Linked DNA regions of Coturnix japonica. The protein of the gene in region 3 interacts with the protein of the main gene of each other region in a pairwise test. Links are inferred from orthologs where the notes say so. Each region holds a gene or a part of one and is shown on either strand. Other genes may lie near its edges.

Region 1 (7,459 bases), on a different chromosome or scaffold from region 3:
CTCCTCAGCCGTTACCTATCACAGATAGAGTTTCCATACATGAGACAATGGGCTCCACTTCTTGATTATGATCAGATTTTGGAATGGTCCTTAATAGCCTGGCCATGCAAGTGGGATACTTACTATAGCTATAAAGTAAAATTGAAGTCAATCTCTCTTGCCTTGTCAATACGACAGGCCTATGGGAAATTGCTGAAGTTATATTCTGGTTGCATACTGTTATTCAGCTACCACTAATGGTCAGCAGCTGTTCAGTGCCTTGTTAAGAACTAAGGAAAAATGACAGGTGATGAATGATTAATTTAGCAAACGCAGAGAAAAACCAGACTAGGCTGCTATTATAAAGAAGTCAAATTCCATACTTGGAGTGATTCCATGCTTGGAGCAGAGTGCTCAAGGGTGGGTACAGAGATATGCAATCACACCACAAATTATATAGCTGGCAATTTAAAGATCACTCAAAAAACCCATCCATATTGCTAAACAATCTCAAAAGTATGCTTACTTCACAAGCTAGGCAGAATCAAAACCCATCTGCAAGCCCATTTGTGAGTCTCATACCTTACAATGCTTAGAAAAAAGCAACATATACACTGAGCTTCAAGTCAGCAATACAAAAAAAAATCTTTAAGATACATTCAGACTAATTAAGTTTAATCACCTATCACAGCCAAGCAGCATAATTACACTTTTATCTGTTACACCCCTGCCTGACTGGTAATAAAGTATCTGAAATTTGCTTAGAATGTCAGAGACATTCATACTTTACTAGGAAACCATCTTTACATTTGAACAAATATTCACGATCATGACCTCACAGAATAGCCAAGGTCAGAAGGGACCTCTAGGGATTATCTAGTCCAATTACACAGCTGAAAACGCAGTCAGCTGGAGCAGTGTTTCCAGCCCTCCTGTGATTCTGTAATCTTGAAGTTACCTGCACTGCAACCCAAGGATCTGAAAACTCACTGAGCTATTTTTCTAGAAATCCAAAGTAGCACCACTCTAATCCAAACCACCGACATCTTGAGCTTCAAGATCTTGAACAACAGCTAAATCCAGGCCCGCTGCTACAGGGATACACAGCACCATCTATACTTGGAGCCCTTTGATGTGGATATGCCTAAAAGCACTGAAATAGTTTTATAGTTGCCAATTTCTCATTTGGTTTTTGGCCTGTTTCTATCCCCATTATACAGCTGAGGGAAGGAATTCTCCTTCTTTCCTAAAAGCACTTTGAAATTGATTAAAAATGAAAAACTTCTTCAATATGAGTATTCATCATCTTTGCATTCTTTTTGCAACCTCATTCCATCTCATATGCTTTCATTTATTCCCAGAAAGAGAACTAAGTCAGCTACACACTTATATTTTACTAGATTCCATAATCCTTCTGCTGTCTGAATTCTTTCTCATTTACACTGTAGGCCATGATGTAGAACCCAGGCACAAAAAACTACCCTGCCCACTCAGTCTTCACTAGAGACACCCACCTCATCTTCATCTAAAAGAAAGCTCCAAATAAATTTAAAATATCATTTGCCAATCTTAAAATTCAGATCTTAAAATCAATGAGGATGATTTCAGTGCAGACTACAGCTACGAATCCCTGCACCATTTATAGTCCTGCCATCTTCCTCAGCTGAGCCTACTGTGACCTCTCTATCACTCATCTATGTGGCTTCTTATTCACTCAGAATTAAAGGACTGCACTACAGCATTTCTTGATTCCTGCTCTTTTCTGTTTTTTACCAATCATTTGTTATCTATTCTGCACCAATAATCTCTGTACCAACATCAGAAACATTCCAGCCAAATTTCAACTATTTATTCGAGTCAACATTGGCTGAAAAATCAGTATGAGAGCACAACAATTACTTTGTATGGTTACCTGCCAAATTAACCTTATCAAATAACACCCATTTTTCCATTAGACAAGAATTGTTTTTACCTGTGAAGTGGACATGCGAGAGGTGTCTTGTCGGCCTGTTAAGTCAGACGATGAGACATTGACTGGGGCACCACGGTGCAACCTCATACTCACTTTTCTTTCTCGTTCCATACCAGACACCGGTCGAGGAGATGTGTTGGCTGTGAGAAAAATTGCATTAGAATTTTCAGAATGAGGCATGTAATAAAAATGCAGTCACTGGAAAAATTACGCTGTTGGCGCATGTAAATTCTACAAGATCAAACCAGAGAAATCAAGGCTTTCATCTTATATTCGCAGATAACTCTAAGTAGCAATTAGCAGGTAATGAGTGTGTGTAATTACCTTCAATCTACGGAAAATTAAAAGGGAAAAACAAAAAACAATCAGGCCAGGCTGGATGTGACTCTGGGCAGCCTGGTCTGGTAGTTGGCGACCCTGCACATCACAGGGGGGTTGAAACTGGATGACCATTGTGGCCCTTTTCAACCCAGGCCATTCTATGATTGCATGAAACAAAAAAGTCCAAATGCTGACTCACTCAAACACCACTCCCATATCCTTATTTTATTTTCAAATTCCAATGACCAGGAACAAACTGCATATTAAAGCAGACTGGGAGGTGCGTCAGCCCATATATTTGCTTACTTACCAGCATGTGAAGTTGGGGTAAGAGGAGTAGGAGGAGCTACATCTTGCGTTCCCCTCAGCCTGCCAGAAGCAGTGGAGGGCAATCCACGCACAGCTGGGTTTCGTGTATGTCTCAGCCTCTCCTCTCGTTCTCTCCTTTCACGTTCAGCATCTTCAGCCCCTCTGCTTGCACCCTACGGGTCAGGACTAGTGAACAACTTAAAGGATTATTGAGCTTACAACTATACATTTGAATAAATATTGACAACGAAGAACTGAAGTTTGAGGAACTTGTTTGATAGGTTACCAATACCTTGGTAAAATTTCTTGAGAACTATCATAGATTCAGTTCATACAATCACTGGGATAGTTCAAATCGCTAATAAACACACACATACTGTTATGGCAATTGGACACTTCCTAAACTGTTGTATGTGAGATGTGATAAAGATCAAGACAGGTAAAAATAAGAAGTCAGCTACCCAATGTGGCAACTGCCTCAAAGGAAGCAGCTTAGGAAGCCTACTACACTGACAATCCTGTAACTACAACTTCGTCATTAAATCCCAATCTAAAGCCTCCTTTATGTCCTGCTTTTCTCTACTTCCTCCCTCCCCTCATTTTTAGGGCAACAAACCTTCTGGGACAGAACACTCTTAAGGTATCAGTTAAGAACCCAAAACTGACAGTGTGATTAAAAAAAATAGCATTACAAAAAATTGTTTTAGAAAGCCACACCAGCTACTCACAAATTTCAGCATGTTCCAGTCAAACACATAGTCATAGGAGAAGCCTTGTCTGTGGAAGAGGTTTCTGAATAACTGCCTTAGGTAGGAATAGTCAGGTTTGTCATCAAAACGAAGAGAACGGCAGAAGTTCAAGTATGTGGCAAATTCAGCTGTAATAAAAGAAAGCCTGTTTTTCTCCTTCAGCTTCATATTTGGTTTTTATGGCTCAGAATCATTAAAAAAATAACAACCACGACACAGAACCTCCCAAACATACAAATACTGACATAGTACTAGAAATCTACTGAAAGCAACACTACATCCCCCCTGCCAAGTATGGTCTGAAAAGAAAATTGTCTATCACAGATTAGGCGAAGGCTCCATTTATCCATAGCAGGTAGGACTGTGTTAGGAGGAAGAAGAAAGTTTAAAACTACATTTCAGCAAAGGAAAGATTTACTTGTCCTTTCCTTGCTCTGAATGTACTTAAACTTAATGTACACAGAATAGAATCTCTTTGCTAAAATACCAGCTATGCAGTAAAAACAGAACATTATTGTGTATTCAGTGCTCCAGAGATACACCAGTGTCAATCTACCAGCTCTTGACTTTAAGGCTTTCCACCTAAAATGATGTATTAATAATTCACATTAAGTAAGGAATTTTAGGCAACTGTTCTTGTGTTGTTTGCCATCTTGTCTGTTCATCCCAGAGGAAAGAAATAGTTTATGAGTAAAGGAACATGCACGACAGGACTTTTGGAACACTCAAAAGCTTTCATACATCCCTCACCATAGCTACAATTCTCATCATACTTAGCTAACACAGCACAGGGCAAGGAAAGAAGAGAGAGAGATCACTTCCTGAAAGGTGAACAATATTCCCTGAGGGTAACTAATACATTAACAAGTTTTGAAACATAGTTATTACTCTGCATGAATCAGAAATTCTTTTTTATTACTAGGGTGTAAACACCAAGAAAAGAAACTGAGCTTTGAGGGATGATGCCAGGATCTGGAGGGATTCTTACACCCCTCACAGATAATGGCCACGGTCAGGCTGGACTGGATGAACTTGGAATGACAATTCCAGAACAACACAATTGCAATAGATGCAAATGACTGTACAATCTGGTTTATCCAGAAAGAATATCCACACATGAAGAGATGGGAAGCTTCTCAAAAAGTTATTTGGCTGTTAATAATCATCCTGCCAGAATTTATGCATGCACACACAAGACAGTGCAGATCACATACACACACTATGCTGTCTTTCAAACTCAAGAGCACCACAGTGATTGCTTACTAATAGTTATGACAGAGGCTAAGTAGAAACAGCCTACGAACAGACAGATCCTGGTCTTGAAAGCACGGTGTCATTATTATGAGCATGCCCAGTTGTAGGAAAAAAGTCAAGAAGACTGTAAACAGGCTCCAAACACATTGTGACAGAGGAGCTAGAAAGCATAAATAAAAAAGACATACCACTAAAAAATGAATACATGGGCCTAGTGACATAAAAGAGCAACTTACAAGGATATCCTTTACACAAAACCTCAATGGGTGTAGACATTTTCTTTTCACTGATACGTTCGTATTTCTGTCTCTTTGTTGCTGCTTTCAGTCCCTGCCAGGGGAGGGAGCCCAGGTTAAAATACATCAGTACATAGCCCAAGGACTCCAAGTCATCTCTGCGAGATTGCTCTACAACAGCATAAAAAAGTGGACTCATTAGGTTTCATTATCTAGTGGGAAAAAACAGAAGACTGAGCAATAATGTGTCAAAAACCCTTAAAATACAACAGACAGATGAAAATCACTACATCTGTGTCAAACTCACCCAGTATTAGAAAAAAAAAACAAACGATCACACTTGCAATTATTAAAGAAATGTGTCAATTCCTTAGAATTACAAACTGAACCCCACCCCAAGAGGCATAAGTCCAAGCACAATGTGTCATGAGTGCCAGCAATAGGGTCTGTCTTCTATGCCCCAAAAAGCATCATCAACTTGCACTGAAAACACATGTATCAGCACTTGTGAAGGTTCTATTCATTGCTTTTCCCAGCTCACCAATTCCAAGATGAGTGTTGATGGATGCATAACGGGCAGTTCCTGTTAGGTTTTTGTTTTCACGATATGGGATATGTTGGTGAGTTCGGGCATCCCGGTACTTCTTTGCTAATCCAAAGTCTATGATGTAGACAAGGTTGCCTTTCTTCCCCAGGCCCATGAGGAAGTTATCTGGCTTCACATCTCGGTGGATGAAATTTTTCGAGTGAATATATTCAATTCGACTGATCTACATACAGACAGAGGACAAAAAACAATTGAGATATCAGTCATACCCTTTTCTCTCACAAAATCGCTAGCAATGTTATCACTACTATCACATCACCTCAGCGATAAGCAAGATAAAGACTTTTCTGGAAAAGGATATTAAAGTGAATAATTTAGAAAACAATAAATATATCTTCCCTGCAGCTCTTTCCCTGTGTCTATGTTACATTGTTTCTAAAAACCTCATTCAGAGTTTTTCCCCCCTCTAATGATACACCCTATTCAGCTCTAAATAAATATAAACAAAAAATGAAACAAAATACAGCTGGCCATGGTCACTCAAGACATTTTAACTAGCTTAACATGCTTTGCAGTCACAGGCAACACAGTTTCCTACCATTTGGTCAGCGAGTAACAAGACTGTCTTGAGACTAAATTTCCTTGAACAAAAATTGAAGAGGTCTTCAAGACTCGGTCCCAGCAGCTCCATCACCATGACGTTGTAGTCCCCTTCTGCACCACACCACTTAATAGTGGGGATACCCACTGCAAGATAAGGAAAGAGTTTATTAAGCATAATAACTTGGTTTATGAAGTTAGTACACACAGATCTTCAGGGTTCTTAAGGTGGACTCTAAGAGTCATTACTGCCAATGTTTGTATCCACAGTGACCCTTAATATTTTATGATACTTTCAAGCATTTTGAAATGAAGCATTTGATCCCTTCATAACTGGACCAATACAAAACTGGAACACAAGAGACCTGAAAATAGCTGTAGCCTGGTCCCCCTTCCCAGTCTTTATGTTTTTGAAAGCAGACAGTGGTTTTGCTGGATTTTAGCCTTAAGTGCTTTGCATGTAGAAACATTCATGGTCTCCAAAACAGCAATAAGGAGAAAATCAGAACCCTGAAAATAAAGACACTGACAAACCACTGAGTTTTACTGCTAGAAAAGGCTTTAGAAATGAAATTATTAGTTTCAAAGCCTACAAAATCCATGCAAAATACCACTCTTTCAGGTTACAATTTGGAATGCAGTTTCACCCCTCCTTCTTGCATTCACTCCAGTTCTGCGACATTCGCTGTTTGGTGAATCCCTACCAGGATAGCATTGCTCATGAGACATACTGTATATTGCTATACATCTAGATGGAAAATCAAAGTCAGCTTCACTTCATGGAGAAACTTGGGAAAATTGTTCCACAAAGAACTGAAAAAAATGCTCAGATGTCTTGAATTAAACCTGCCGATAGCCTCACTCTGAATTTCAATTACCTTTTCTTTAATTCTATGAAATTTAGAAGTGAAGAAATGCAGAAACACTTCTAGAATCACAGAATGGCTTGAGTTGAAAGGGACCTTAAAGACAATCCAGCTTATAATCACCAAGATTGTAATTAACTCATCTAGAATTTTCACTTATTTACAGCGAATTATTTTTATCCCAAATCCCTTTCATAGAAAAATCCTTACTTGGACCATTACTAAACTTCTGCCACCACCTACCCTGCACTGCTCATTCTGAAAAGAAGCTGATATGGCCTCTGCAAACCCATACAGGAAATACTTTACCCCTCATTTCATGCAGGCTGTTAATGAGACTTTTACATTGTAGAAATCTCAAACATGACTGATTTCTCCCGGTGAGCTAGGATAAATACCACACAGCTACTTCACTGCTGTTCTCTACCTACTAATGCCATCACATCTTACAACGCCTACTGCAAGGAAGTAGCTCAGATGCAGGAATGCTAGTGTATGAAAGAAAAAATGATCCTGAATTCACTAAGTCTAGAATTGTGCTCCTACATTAGAGCAAACCAGGTTAAGCCCTACCTCACATAAGAACTGAAGCACTGCTCTTCACCCTGCTCACTACTCAAAGAGCT
Region 2 (7,459 bases), on a different chromosome or scaffold from region 3:
GTACATGCATCTGTTATCAATGCTACGTTGATTCGTTAGGGTGTGCATTATAATGCTATGCCAATATTAAGGAAAGCAATGGGCTTTGAGGTTGTCCCAGGAGCTAGTATGGCTGTTAGCTTCCTTGCACATAAGTGCATGTTAGATGAAAGTGGGAAGTCTGGAATGTAGAGATTTGAATTTAAAGTAATTTGTACCCAGATATATCTAAAACTAGATCTGAACATGCCTTTAACCAAACTTCTGTACACATGAAAAAGATTAGGTTACGATGAGTTGTTGATTCAACTACATATTTCTTGGTAGTGGTTATGTCTAGAAATGAGCCTTCTTAAGTCATTGATTCTAACTGAGCAAGAAAAATCATGGAATCATAGAACGGCCTGGGTTGAAAAGGACCGCAGTGATCCTTGATTTTCAACCCCTGCTATGTGCAGTGTCACCAACCACCAGACCAGGCTGCCCAGAGCCACATCCAGCCTGGCCTTGAATGCCTCCAGGGATGGGGCATCCACAGCCTCCTTAGGTAACCTGTTCCAGTGCATCACCACCCTCTGAGTGAAAAACTTCCTCCTAATATCTAACCTAAACCTCCCCTGTCTCAGTTTCAAACCATTCCCCCTTGTCCTGTCACTATCCATCCATGTAAGCAGTCCTCCCTCCTGTTTATATGTTCCTTTCAAATATTGGAAGGCCACAATGAGGTCTCCCTGGAGTCTTCTCTTCTCCAAGCTAAACAAGCCCAGTTCCCTCAACCTTTTCTCACAGGAGAGGGGCTCCAGCCCTCCATATGAGAAAACAAACAAACATCTGTATGAAGGATTTTTTTGACGAAATTGTTCTAATTTTAATGAGAAAATGCCCTTTAGGTGTGATATTGTATATTGGTGAAAACAAAATAGATTTGTTTCATCATTTGCAGCGCATCTTGTTAAACACATCCAGACCAGATGAAAGGTTCAAATAGTCTTAATAAATTGCAAGTTCATTCTGAATAATCGTTTGCTGTAAACGGAACTCCTTTTCTCCTATTCAAAAGCAGTGTTCTTTTGCACTGTTGTTACTACAAATACCATGGGGTCGCTAGGGCTTAATTTGTTTTTTTTTTCTCTCTGAACAGTGTGTTCTCAGTGACAGTTGTGCAGCCTAAGCTGGGACTTGGTTAGTTTGCTTCTGTTTTTGTGTGGGTGAGAAGGGTTGATAACAGAGTAATTTCTTCCCTGCGTCCCCCTCTGCTCCCTTCTCTTCCTCCATGTATTTGACAGCTCCAGTCTAGACTGTTGTTTTTCCACATATGTGCAAGTTTTATGGAGATAGGAAGAGAGATATTAGAGAAGATTTGGAAAACCAACAAAATAGAGATTAAATGGTATTAAGGGCAAGTTTAGGGACCTTGGATGTGAATTGAAGGCTGGGTCAGTGCATGTAATCTTCTTGAATAGGATTTTGTGTCAGGTCTAGACTAAAGTTGTGTGCTGTGGTCAGTAAGGAAGAAAGTGGGTTGAGAAAATAGGGGGGAAGTAAGTAGGAAAACAATTTCCTGAGACAGTTCTTGCATTGAAATAGCTGTGAGTGTTTTGTTTTGCCAGTTCTCCTTAACACCTTTTCCCTATATTCTGTGGCTTGAAGTTTAAATTCAAACAAAAATGTACCTCTTCTATCATTCCAAAGCCACCTGGGACACTATAGTTCATGTTTATAGTGATTTGTGAACGCATATGTTCCTGGGAAACAAGATTGAGAAAGATTGAAATGGACAGGATTCATGATAAAGACTGTAATTCCAAGCTTAAAACAGCAGCAACAACAACAGAAAAACACTCTGTGCTTTCTAGTGTAGGCCTAGAAGTGACTTTGGCCTACAAACTTAGGGCCTGCATTCTCTTTAAATAGAAGCATATGTTATTTCACTCTAGAATCTAATATTAAAATGACTTTTTATACAGAAGTTTCTTTTTAGATATAGCATATATATCTTACTTCATTGTCTGCCTGCCTTGGAGGGTTTGTTTTTTATCAGATCAAAATTTAGCAAAGTGAGAGAACTGGGCATTGTTTTTTGTTTCTGTCATTAAACACGTACTGTGGTTGTCAGTAAAGAAGCTGCTGTGCTCTTGTATACCCATATGTAGTGGTGTTATGGGAGGTCCTCATAGGATTGATGGCCTCCAGCAGGAGAGTCTCTCCTTTGCCTCTCAGGGCATCACTTTTGGTTGATGGTGGGGAATCCAGTGGCGCATGCATGCACAAAACTTAGCAGCTGCCCTCATCAGTGCATGATTTGCCTCACAGTAACATCGCTGTGGTAGAGGGTTTGAGCAGCTCCTAATTAAAACCTTACTTTTATCACAGAGATAATGCTGTAGGGGAAGCACTATGCTGGTGAAGGGTCTGTGAGAAGGATGCTTATCTGAATATCTCCATAGGTGGCCACCAGCCTCAGTTTTCCTGTCAGTTTTCTTGTCTCCCCCCAGACAATCTTCAGCCATCTTCAGTTACTCAATCCACTAATCATTCTTTGGTGCGTAGATCTGTCTCAACATCCGATGTGCAACAGCTCGTTTCACCTTAAGACTTTTAGATCTGCAGCCTACCCCCCCCCCCCCCCCCCCCTTTTTCCTTGTTTCCTGATTTGCTTGTTACAAATTGAAGGGAGGGTATAGCTGGTTTGTGACATTCCTCCTTAGAAACAGGGCTATTTTTATAAGTGAAGGCCAATGGCGTAGTTGTGACCATCTAGTCCCCCGACGTGCTGTTTTTAGTAACAGTTCAGGCCTCTGTGTTGTAAGGGGCACTTGGATTAAGTTTCATTGCTGTATGCCAATAACTGATTGTCTCCTCTTTTATTTTGTGGTGTGCTATTTTTTCCCCCTTCAGGGTGACAAGACATTTACAGATTCAGATAAGACTTGAGTATCTTTTAATGTGTTCCGGAACTGAGTAGCACTGAGGTGAAAACTTCAATGAGAGCTCAGTTTGATTTTTGTCAGTTGTGTGCTGCTTAATAAGAGCTGTTGAACTACTGCAAGCTAAGTGTACTTAGAATGGTGACATGCATGCATCACCAAAATACACACAAAATATGGAAGATCTGATAACAGTTGGGCTGTTCCTCTAGGTCCCTGTTTCTACTGCAAAGTTGCTTGGTCTACCTCAGAAAGCAAACATTTCTTTACTTTTCTTTGCAGGTTTCTGCTTCAGTGTCTTGAGGATCTTGATGCCAATCTACGGAAACTGAATTCACGTTTGTTTGTTATTCGTGGACAGCCAGCAGATGTTTTCCCCAGGCTTTTTAAGGTAAATGCTAGAAATGCATACAACTAAAATACAGGTTTCCTTTTACCCTACGGATAGTTTCTGTCCATGAGTATGACTGTCAAAATGGTTTCAACTTAAGTATACTAGTATACTTAAGCACAAGTTGCTTTCAACACAAATGCTAAATACACTTTTGCAGTTTCAGGATTTTTCAATGTTTGAATTTCTGTTCCTCTCTAATGTGCACATCAATTGGCTTGAGTTCCTTTTTAGACTACACAGTTCTAATTCTTTTCTCTCCAGAAACAGGGCTAATTTCTCATGTTTTGCTGTGTCCTGTACTAAGTTTTCCTTTCTGGGTTCCCTCTGAAATAACACGTACACAAATTCAGAGATTCAAAGTTTGACCTGTAAAAGCAGTGCTTTGATTTTAGACCAAACCTCTGCTGTGCTTTTTAGGGTTAGGGTTAGGGTTAGGGTTGGAAGGGACCCTTAAGGTCACCTACTTCCAACCCCCTGCTATAGTCAGGGACACCTTAGAGGGATCTAGACCAGGTTGCTCAGAGCCCCATCCAGCCTGGCCCTTAATGTTTCCAGGGAGGGGGCATCCACAGCGTCACTGGGCAACCTGCTCCAGTGCCTCACCACCCTCACAGTAAAGAATTTCTTCCTAATAGCTAGTCTAAATGTACCTCTTCCAGTTTAAAGCCATTTCCCCTCAATTTGTTGCTACATGCCCTCATTAAAAAGTTCCTCCCCAGCATTGCTGTGAGTCCCCTTCAGGTACTGGAAGGCCGCTATCAAGTCTCCCTGGAGCCTTCTCTTCTCCAGGCTGCTCAGTATGCTTTGCATATGGATTCTAAGAGGTTTTATGGAATGACTGAATTGAGGTGATTGAGATAAGCAAGACTGGAAAAAATATCCTTTTCTGGAAAGACTGTCTTCTCAAGAGTTGTAATTTTCCAGTCATCAGCACTAAGCTAGATAAATGAAAGAGATTTTTTTTTAATCTCTTGAGCATGTTAGTCATTTGGCTGAAGGCTACCTCAAGCACGTATATAACTCATACAGTTACACCTGTAGCCTATTTTGCCAAAGCAGATACCTATATATCAGGTGGCTGATGTGGAACCTTGAATCAAGCTTTTCAAATTGTTCTCATTAAATGTCTCATAAAAGTGAGCAACAATCCTGACCATGAACAACACATCTGTTTTTTTGTCTGAAAGGTGATATCTTCAAGCCATTAATGGTAGGATGCAGTGGAACTTCTATAAACTCTTGTGTCAGAAACCTTATTTAAGATGCCTGGGGGTGAATATTTCACAGCTGTTTTTTTTTTTAAGTAGGGCTCTCCTTTTCACAGTTTGGAGGATGATGTTTTCAAAAGACAGAGTACTGATATATTTTAATTGTTAAAAAGGACTAAGAGGACTCTAGGATTAGAGAGAGATACTTGTTTATGTTCTTCTTTCCTGCCCGCTTTCAATCCCTCAGAACAGCTTTGCTTCCCTTAAGACTTAATTCGGTGTCACCTGTTCTCAGCAGTACTAGCTAGTATTGCTACTGAAAGCAGCACTAGGTTGTCATCTTCCGGAGTAGTACACAGAGACAGAATATTTTTATCAGCAAACTTTGCAGGTCTTTGCAAAAATTTTATTTCTTTAAGTCAAGAAAGATGGTTTCATTTGACTGCGGAGTTGCAGCTTTCATTAGTCGCTGACACCCACTTGGTACCTGTTACTTAATTTGAAATGGTGAACTTCACTTGGTTCTTGCTATTCTTTCCAGTTTGTCCTAGTTTGTTCTGTATCTCTAGTGCTTTGGGGCTGGCTTGATGAACAGAATAGAGCTGGGACGATTTCTGATTTATTTAAATACATCAGTGTTGATAAAAGCATCCATTGTGCCAAGCAGCACGTGCAAAGTGTGTCCTTGCCTCTACGTGCCTACCTCATGCTAATGTGAACTGACATTACTATTAATGTGAACTGTGTGTATTCGCATCACGTCTCACTTGTCTCAGAGTTCCTTGGCTCTCTGTGCAGTGTGGCTCTGGCCCTTGGATGCTTTTTTTTCATGGTTTTCTTTTCAACATACCAGAGGAAAGAAGGATTTAAGAAAACTTGCTACCAGCTGTCAAACGTCACCACTGAATGTAAAATAAACATTGTGTAAGAGGAGGCTGCTAAAGGGTTCAGGGCCTGCTGTGTCATTGTTGGCAGACGTAAGGGTGGAAGGATGCCAAGCACTCCCTAGAGTAATCTATCCTCATTATTGTACCTGTGCTCCATCACAGGTGATGTGATGGAGAAGTGAAGCAGTGCCCTAAGTGAACAGTGAACCCCTGTGCCTTTGGTATAAGTCTCGTTCTCTGAAATAGTCTGGCTGGTGTGTTTAGGTCTCCTGTTTAAGGTAACTGGGATTAGAAACATGCTCAAAAATGTCCAGAAGACAGCCTGTGTCATCTTTCCCTGCCGTTATGCCTCTTAAGTATGTGGATCCTAAAGTTAAAGCTGGATTTTCAAAACTTCTATGGAAATGTAATGGGGCAGATCAATAGAGGCTTTTTTTGTTTTTGTCTGATTCCAGTCTAGGTGCCGAAATGTTGGCTGCTTTTTTGTCAGTCAGGATATCTGTATCTCTGTGTCTTGTACCTTTGTGTATTTTTACCAGCTCTCTACAGCTGGTGTTACAACCTGTCTTTTCTGTTCTCCTTTTCCTCACTCTCTATCTTGCAGCTGGTTTGCTGAAGGACCGGATATTTATTTTGTGTTTCAGGAATGGAGCATTGCAAAACTGTCTATTGAATACGACTCGGAACCATTTGGCAAGGAGAGAGATGCAGCAATTAAGAAGCTGGCTAGTGAAGCTGGAGTGGAGGTCATCGTTCGAATTTCTCACACATTATATGACCTAGACAAGTAAGTTACCATTACTCTGGTTTTATAAAGGAAGAAACAACTAGAACTTGTTCTGGTTTAATTTTAGTTTGTTCTGTCTCAATTTCATTTCTACACAAGTTAGCAAAAGGTCCTCCATTTTTCTCACACTGTTTCCTATAAGTGACATATCCAGTAACATTCTGGGGATTGTTTGATATCCCTGTGTTGTGTTACTTAATGTGTTGTTTGTTATTCCACAGATCTATTTAAAGGGATTAGTATTAGCTCCTTATTATAGAAACACAATCTGCAAACTGTTCAAAAATATGATTTGGCTTCTCTTAACATTAAGTAATTTGTTACTGTAGATGCTCATTTTAATGTTATAAACCACATGTATGGGAGATTGCTAGATGCACGTATTTGAAACCAGTAACTAGTTTTAAATCTTAAACTGAAAATCTACCCCTCTGTCAAAATTCCTTCTCATTTTCCCCCTGTCCTTAAGTGAACAGTTGATTCGATCTGCTGCTTTAAGCTATTTCTTGAACTTACCCTGTTTCCAAGATTGCAGATTTAAAGATGGATGGACGGTGCAGAATGTGAAAACTGTGTATTGACAAGTCATTGTGTATAAATGGCAGCCTAATCTTTTCTCAGTATTAATTCAGCTGCAGCACTGGACTCTGCTCTGAATGCCAGAGTAGAAAAATGCTTTCTTTTTATGCAGCTGATCTTATAAGATGCATGCAACTCACCTGTGCTGCTGCAGACTTTTACCTGCTCTGTTAATTCTATGTGTTTTCGTTGCCTCGAGCTTTTTGTATTCGTTACTCATTCTTAAGGAACTTTCGTCAGCCCAGAAGTTAAGAATAATTGACTTGATTTTAAACAGTTAATTTATGTTTTCCTGATGAGGAAAAATGATGGTGTGAAATTAAGGTACAAACTGTCTGGATAATCAAGTATATCAGTCTTTCTGTGTAGCACAATATTTCTTCTGTGTGCATAGATGTATACACAAACAATAACAAACAAATGAAAAAAAAACCCAACAAATAACATTGTAATATCTTCTTGTCTAACATACTTTGTTTTTATTCTTTTTTTTCCTTTCAAAACCAGAATTATAGAATTAAATGGAGGACAGCCACCTCTTACTTACAAGCGATTCCAGACTCTGATTAGTAGAATGGAACCTCTGGAGATGCCAGTGGAGACTATAACCCCGGAGGTAATGCAGAAATGTACCACTCCAGTTTCCGATGACCACGATGAGAAATACGGTGTCCCGTCGCTTGAAGAGCTAGGTAAGT
Region 3 (7,459 bases):
TTTTCAGTACCTCGTTCCTCTTTTCCAAGAAGATATTTTATATCTGTGATCACTATCATTGGGCCAACAGCACTTCATTAGGAACTTTCTAAGCATCTTATCTGAAATTAAAGTTACAAATCTTCCCTTTTACATCAAAGAATGTAATAAGCTCAGGAACACAGGAAGCTGAGCAGAGAAAGAACGGGGGTAGCAGAAGTGCCAGACTTCATCACAGGACACCAGTGACGCCTAGGGGCTACAGAGGTGGGAGAAGCTGCCAGACAAAGCCTGCTCCCTGCAGTGCTAAACAAGCAATTATCTGAGTGCACATTGCCAATGTGGCAAATGCCTAAAGTCACATTTGGCTTGTAGTCTTCTTACTTTCACCACTAGGGGAAAACAAATAAATAAACAAATCATCAGGAGCAGAAATATTTGAAACATACCTAGCAGTTTTTCAGCAACAGTTTGGTTCTCATCACTTTGGTTCAGCCATCTTCAGTCTTACACCATAGAGAAAGATGACTAAACGCCATACAGCTCACATTCATTGGGCTTAACCAAAACTCTCTGCCCATAAGTGATTGGTATAAAGCTACAGAGGACAGTAGTATTTAAAGATGACATTAAACAAAGTAAAAAAGGACAACATGAACTTCTGCTGCTTCCAAACACCACACAGAACTCAGCCACATACTCTCTTGCAGGCATTAGCGTGCACACATTTTCGGAAGAGCTGGTCAGTCTAAAGATTCTGCCTTACTTTTCATCACTAAGCTTTCAAGCTGGACAAACTGGCAGCAATTCAGCATAGTAAGCCACAACCAACTTGTGGCCACTAATACATCGTGCAAGTTCTTGTTTGACGTACCAGCTCAGAACAGAGCTGCAATACGTGTATTTTTTGCTTCTTACGTGGAGTAGAAGGGCTCAAGAAACAGAAAGACAACTAAAAATATATCTGTTTTATTTACCAGTTTTCTAAAAAGCAAAGTCATAAAAATTAGTCACGAGTGGCAAAACCAAAATATATTGCACAGTGTACAGAAACCATTGTTGACATGTTGACAAAGTGTCATCACAAATAAATCATCTTACAACAGCTTGGAAAAATTACAGCTTCAGAATCTTATCTATAAATGGAGGCATGTAGATTTAAAGTTACAGGAAAATATTTAATACCACCCTGTAAATGCAAACACTTTAAGGATGCAAGAATAAGACCGTAATTAAGCACATCCACAAAATGCTCTAAATATACTTTTCTCTTCCTCTCACTAAGTTATGCTTACAAGATGGTCATTGAAAAAAAGAAAGAAAAAAAGAAATGAGAACAAAAAGAAAGGAAAAAGAAAAACACAACAACAAAAAAGCATGCTAAAGTTCACAAAGTGGTTGAGAAGTCCCTGAAAATAATTTGTTTAATAATGATGCGCTCCTTTATATATAAAGCTTTTGTTTTTCCCAAACCCTGGTCCAATTAAAACTATTTGTGTTTACATGTAATAAAAAACAAAAAAGGAATAGGTAATATGCTGGTATAGCTGCACTGTTCCATTTATGATAGAAACATTTAATATATTGGACTGGAATACCAACATTTTAATGTTTCTCATTCGGTTTATATACATCTACTCAAGTTTGATCTTGCAGAAGTGTTAAAGACAGGAATCAGATCACGCTGATGAGCGTTTCACACTATGTTTAAGATACTCACTTCTGAAGTAGTGATTCTACTTGTTCTGTAACTTCACACATTCTAACTGAAGAACCTGTCTCCATTGCAAATTTCCTTATGATGCTGTCCAATTAATTCATTCATTCACACATTTCATCCACTAAGCAAATACCAGTCACTTCAACATGTTTTTGGCGGTGCCAGATCTACCTTCATGTCCTCTTTGGATGCAAAGAGAAACATTTCCATATAATGAAAATAACTTTCAGTGAATAGAAACGTTATCTTAATATTAAAACAAACAAACAAAAAAGAACCAGAAGAAAAAAAAGCTTTCATGAAAAATATTTTAAGACAAACATAGCAAAGTTAATTGAGTTTCTCCACGATTTTGACCCCCCGAGACCTACAAGCTGACATCTAGCAATGCTGCAACTAGATTTCTTCTAACTAATCAATATTGATAGTTACTCTCTTTTGTTCTCTTCCCACATCCAACATGTACAAACAACGCAAGGACAAAGTACACATATTGAAGTTGATACAATCGCTGAGGCATTGAAATTAAATCCTTGACAGGTAAGGACTCCAGCCACACTAAGTGTTAAGTTATGTAATCTGTGAAAGTCAATGGTATTCTCAAAATCTCTTTTTATAAGAAATATCTTCCAATTACGAGAAATGTCTGATCCTCTCTTGCCACATGCAAGTTTGATGTTTGTTTAGCCAAACAGAAAAACGGACGGCCAACATCCTAACAGAACAGACCAAAAATAAAGGTTAAATGACACCACATTTTGTCTCAGTCACTGGAGCACACACAGTCATCCTGTGTGTTTGCAAATTTGTTTAGAAGAGATTTTGTGTGTAAATTCTCAGAAATCATGCTTCGAGATAATACACAGTTCATAGAATTGCAGTGTCCGTTGAAACAAAAGGCTACAGAGTTGTCAGCACTCACCTATGCTTTCTTAAGTATCCACGTAAGTATTTTAACCCAAGATCACCTTACAGAATTAGTTCAGCATTTCTTTTAGGCAAAAGGTTCCTATAGTCAACGCTATAGGAAACAAAGAGGATGGCTCAGACTGGTACAAAAAGGGCAAGTGCGAACTGATTTTCTTGAAGGTTGTTTCTTCTATTATGTTGGACCACTTCAAATATTAAAAGCAATGCTAAAGAGCTTCTAAGCAAGATTCCTAGAACAATTTATAATGCTGAACCGTTACTCAAAGATTTTAAGAGCTATACGTTCACAAGGGGATTTTCAGTACTCACAGTACTCACTGACCCACTCAGTAGGCATCAATGAAAGCTTTTATAGTTTACAAAGAAATACTTGAGGCATATAAGTGCAAAATATGAGTTTTTTTTCTTTAAATAAAAGCTATACCATCTTCAACAATGTCCTTACTGGGAAGAGATTGCCACCATTTAAAAAGAGATTCTTTCACAAATGACTCTTTTAGAGTGAGAAAAACATTTGCTTTATGAACCAGATTCATCTTGCTGGAAACAAGATTAAAACCTTAATGGATCATCACTGTAATTTTGAAGCAGCTTTAAAAGCAACAGGCTCAAAGGCTATGTTTGTTCTTCACTGACTTGACTCAGAGAAACCAGATTGTTCTCCCCACTGTCTTCAATCATTTCATTAAGGTCCATTTCATGGATTTCTTCATCATATGACGTATAAAAATTGCTCTGTATATTGTCCTCACAAAAAATACATTCCTAAAATAAGACAAAACAACATTAAGTCAAAGGAAAAAAAATAATAAAAAAACATTTTCCAAACATCAGTTTATTTGCATGTGATCCCTGATTCCAAAGGAACTTGTAAATCTGTGCCACACTCAGGTTCCATCCTCCAGCTGCTCCTACACAATCAATTTATAACATAGTAAATCAGCACAAGGTACTCGACAACTCTACTATGAACAGCTACATCACAGAATATTTACAATTCTGACTTCTCATAAGCACTATAAGAACATCTTTTCCTACATTTGATTGCTAACACTGGTACATTAATACATTCAGGTCAGCTGCACTGCTTAAGAGACTGAAGTGACTGTAGTTTCACACCTGTTGGATGCCCTCACATCAATGCTGCAGTAACATTAATAACAGAAGGATCTATTCAAATTCTATCGCATTGACTTTTGAAACATCCATGAATAAAGAGAGCCTCTGCATTTGATAGCTTATCTGAAAAGAAGCTACAAATGATGGGGAACTTAGGGAATTGGAAAGCAATCATTTATTCGTAAGTAAAATTCACATATAACCAATAAAACTGCGAGGATTCCTTCCCCCTTCCCCGCCCTTTGTTTCCTGAGCTACTAATCTACTTATACAATCTAGACAAGGAAGGATTCTGCAGGAAAAACTTAATACAGAGAAGGAAGACTGTATTCCCATCCATCACACACTTTCAAGGAAGAAATAGGCCTAAGTTTCTATGCTCAAAACATGTTTTTGCATGAAAATCTCGTATGACATGAATGAAATTGCTAGTTGCATTGATACATAATTTCTAAGAGATTCAACAAAACTAGAAATGACAGACAAGGCCATTCCTCATACTGGATTCACTACCTCAACTTTTCTACTGGAAAGAAGATTACCAGTAAGTTGAATCAAGCCAGAAGCCATGGCAAGCAAGTTTGATTTTAACTATTTCTCAGTATAACTGACCAAGCTTTCTTCCAAACAGGAAAGGAAAACTAACACAGGCAGCTAATAACAAGCACTGTTATACATGCGAAAATAACAAACTGATTTAAACTTACAGAATTAGCAACAGTCTTTGGCAGTCCACCTTGCTGGATCCACGGATGAACTTCAATAAGCTCTCTTTTTTGGTCTTCGGTAAATTTTGGTTGTAGTTTCTGCATTTGCTTTAGTTTCAGCTTATCTTCTTTTAAAACTGTTTCCAAATCTCTAAAATGAAACATATTCAGAAATTGAGCTTCAGTTCTTTCAGGGCTTTACACCTACATAATGTCACACAATCAAATACAAGCTTTTTTCTTTTATTAAAAAAAACAGTTTTTGTTCTGGATTGTTCAGTTTACAGATCTGACACTGGAAAAAAAAAAATGAAGTGTGATTATTTCAGCAGCATTCTACATTTGCAGAAAACTTTAGCACATCTCTGCTGGCTCATTGTCCTTCCAAATCCCACTGAGAACTGCTTGCTTAGTGCTACCACTGAAACAAAGAAGTTCAGTACCCCTCTGCAGATGCTGCAGTGAGATCCAAGTTCTCCTTCAGCAGGACAACCTGAATCAGACACTAGATACACACATATGAGATATGCATCAGCCTCCAGAAAAATACGCCTGACCAAGTCATTCTCCAGAACTTCTGAAGATAGTATGCAAAAGATATAAAGGAAGCAACAGTTCTTGACACTGACCTAAACAAGGTGTCTTCTATTAAGACAGAGATTCAGTTTACCCTGCTCCCCCAATGTGCATGCAGTTTATGAAGGACTGAGGTGCTGGAATTACCTAGAGGGTATCTGGTAAGTCATCATAACTGTATCATCTGTGTTTGCCATCAAAAGCCATATGGGATCCTGAAGAACGTATTTAATGAAGTGCTCACTTTCTTCTATTTCTGCCTTCATTTTTGTTTTATGATGGTTTTCTGAGGAATCGATGCTCCCAAAGTATTTGCTGGTATGACTAGTTTCACTACTGCCTTTAAAAGAGAAATTAAAGCTTCATTAGAAATTGTCAAATACATAGACCAGTCCTGTATTTTTGAAGATAGAAATGGGTAAAAAGAAATGAAAAAACAAAACATCATGACCATTTAATTTCATTTCTAAACAGAAGGTACTCCCACTACAGTAACCATTTAAACATTTTAAAAACCTAATCATTAAAGCTAAAACTCTATTAAACTGCAATAGAATAATTAACTAAAAGGAAATAAATTTGAAACACAAAGGATTATGGTCCTCTCCATTACTCAATTCATGTGAGGTCTGTAGGATATCACAATCCAACGCTTCTAAAATGCTGGGAGTATTCACTGCCTGTATTACCTGTTCTGCTTCCTGACATGTCACAGCCGTTAGATCCAGACCCGAGAGATTCAGCAGCTGCAGATACTCCGCTCCCTGAGGAAGCTGAGCCAGTGCCTGAGCATGCATCTTCTTGAAGTAAAATGTCAAGCAGGACACTGGACATAGAGAGCGCATCGCTATTTTGAGCATCCATTGGAGACTCAGCCTGGTAAGAGGAAGAGGAGGGAAACAAACAACAACAGAAAATTAAGGTCATCTCATCTCCAGTTTCTTACATTTACTATTAATCCACTTGACTTGGTATTCTGTTAAGTTTACACTGCTTGTTATTTGTCAACATGAACAGTTACAAAACTGCTAAACTTCATTAGAAGTTGGCTTGAAGAATTTCAGGAATTAACGTTGATGAAGAAATTAACAGAATACATTGTAATACATGAACAAGCTTCAGATATATCCTCAGTGCTTTCCTGAACAAATGCCTGCTTTGCCTTCATGTTCAAACAAGTGATGATGAAATTACAGAAAGTAATATTTTGCAGGTTTCCGAACAATGGGAAATAGCCTCCTGAGAGAATTCCAAAGGATTTCCCGTCAAAATTGTTGGTATTTTTTGTTATCAAGCTTACTTTAATCCAGTAGCAACATTTCAGAGCACGCAGTAAGTCTCAGACCATCACAGATGCACTTCTTTACCATGCACAAATCTAAGGTGCTTTATTTATGTACATATATACATTAAATATAATGTGTGTATATTATATACACATACACTTGTTCTCAAGATCATGAGACACCAAGCGTGCCACAACAGAATACAGTAAGCTTTTGCATAATGTCAATAAAGTTTGGAAGTTTCACTAGAAAGGCAGATATATTATATTCCTTTCTGCTCCCCCTCTGATCATCCCCCTTAAGAATCAATATCAAGATTATTAGGTAAAATAAATCATCTGGAAACTGAGCAACTAAGTTTGTCAGAGTGAGGAGCAAGCATGTTTGTACGTTTTACCTTCCACCTCCACAGTTTCTAATGTCGGCACATGCCCACGACAAACTATATAACAAAGTCATTTAATCAGCTGTTGGCATCAGCACTAATTGCGCTCTATGACTGATTACTTGGAGCATGTTTGATCTCACATGCCAGTAAGAGCCACACCTTCCAATGTCTGCTTTCCTTTGAACAGCATGGAACTCAAATTGTACTCTGTATACGCTGTCAGTTATAGTGAACAGTTACAGCCCACATAAGAAGAAAAGCAGGAGGTAGGAGGACATTCTAGAAGACTTAGGTTGCATCCCATCAGTGACTCAGCATTCGGAAAGACACTATGCAGAATCCTTATGCAACAGTAATGTAACAGTCTATACCATCATCATAGAAATCCTTAGACACAGCACTCCACCTGAGGTTTGTCAGATTATTAGTTTAATTGATCCAACAAATCTAAATGAGCCAGGAAAAGAAGCTGACATTATCACATAGCTCTGTACGGAGCTTTAGGGCACAGTGCACCAAGAAAAATAAACAGTGTCCGCAGGCAATACCTCATACTTTGTTTGCAAACAAGTAGTCAAAATAAAAAGATAATTTCCTTTATATCAGCTTCTTTCAAGACCTCAGTTACAGGTTGCATCTCCCTCACTCCCTTCTCAGAAATTTACTACCCAAAAAGTTTTTGCTAAACATTAAAAAAAAGTGAACAAATGATTTACAATCTATTTCAGTGCTTCTCAATGAATGCATTAGCACT

What was found.
Region 1: the proteins of PER2 (region 3) and CSNK1D interact in binary tests that used the Homo sapiens proteins (3 or more experiments, as listed by UniProt). The link is inferred for Coturnix japonica from reciprocal best matches to the Homo sapiens genes PER2 and CSNK1D.
Region 2: the proteins of PER2 (region 3) and CRY1 interact in a two-hybrid assay, tested with the Homo sapiens proteins (5 studies listed by BioGRID, with this or other methods). The link is inferred for Coturnix japonica from reciprocal best matches to the Homo sapiens genes PER2 and CRY1.

Annotation. Positions count from the first base shown.
Region 1 is NC_029533.1:4,234,075-4,241,533, reverse strand, and holds part of CSNK1D (casein kinase I), read right to left. Parts: intron 6,115-7,459; coding exon 5,966-6,114; intron 5,591-5,965; coding exon 5,362-5,590; intron 4,992-5,361; coding exon 4,821-4,991; intron 3,459-4,820; coding exon 3,310-3,458; intron 2,755-3,309; coding exon 2,583-2,754; intron 2,092-2,582; coding exon 1,952-2,091; intron 1-1,951. UniProt on the Homo sapiens protein: Essential serine/threonine-protein kinase that regulates diverse cellular growth and survival processes including Wnt signaling, DNA repair and circadian rhythms. It can phosphorylate a large number of proteins.
Region 2 is NC_029516.1:49,005,091-49,012,549, reverse strand, and holds part of CRY1 (cryptochrome-1), read left to right. Parts: intron 1-3,188; coding exon 3,189-3,297; intron 3,298-6,039; coding exon 6,040-6,182; intron 6,183-7,268; coding exon 7,269-7,453; intron 7,454-7,459.
Region 3 is NC_029524.1:4,255,369-4,262,827, forward strand, and holds the end of PER2 (period circadian protein homolog 2), read right to left. Parts: intron 5,908-7,459; coding exon 5,721-5,907; intron 5,372-5,720; coding exon 5,179-5,371; intron 4,607-5,178; coding exon 4,456-4,606; intron 3,395-4,455; coding exon 3,245-3,394; 3' UTR 933-3,244; downstream 1-932. UniProt on the Homo sapiens protein: Transcriptional repressor which forms a core component of the circadian clock.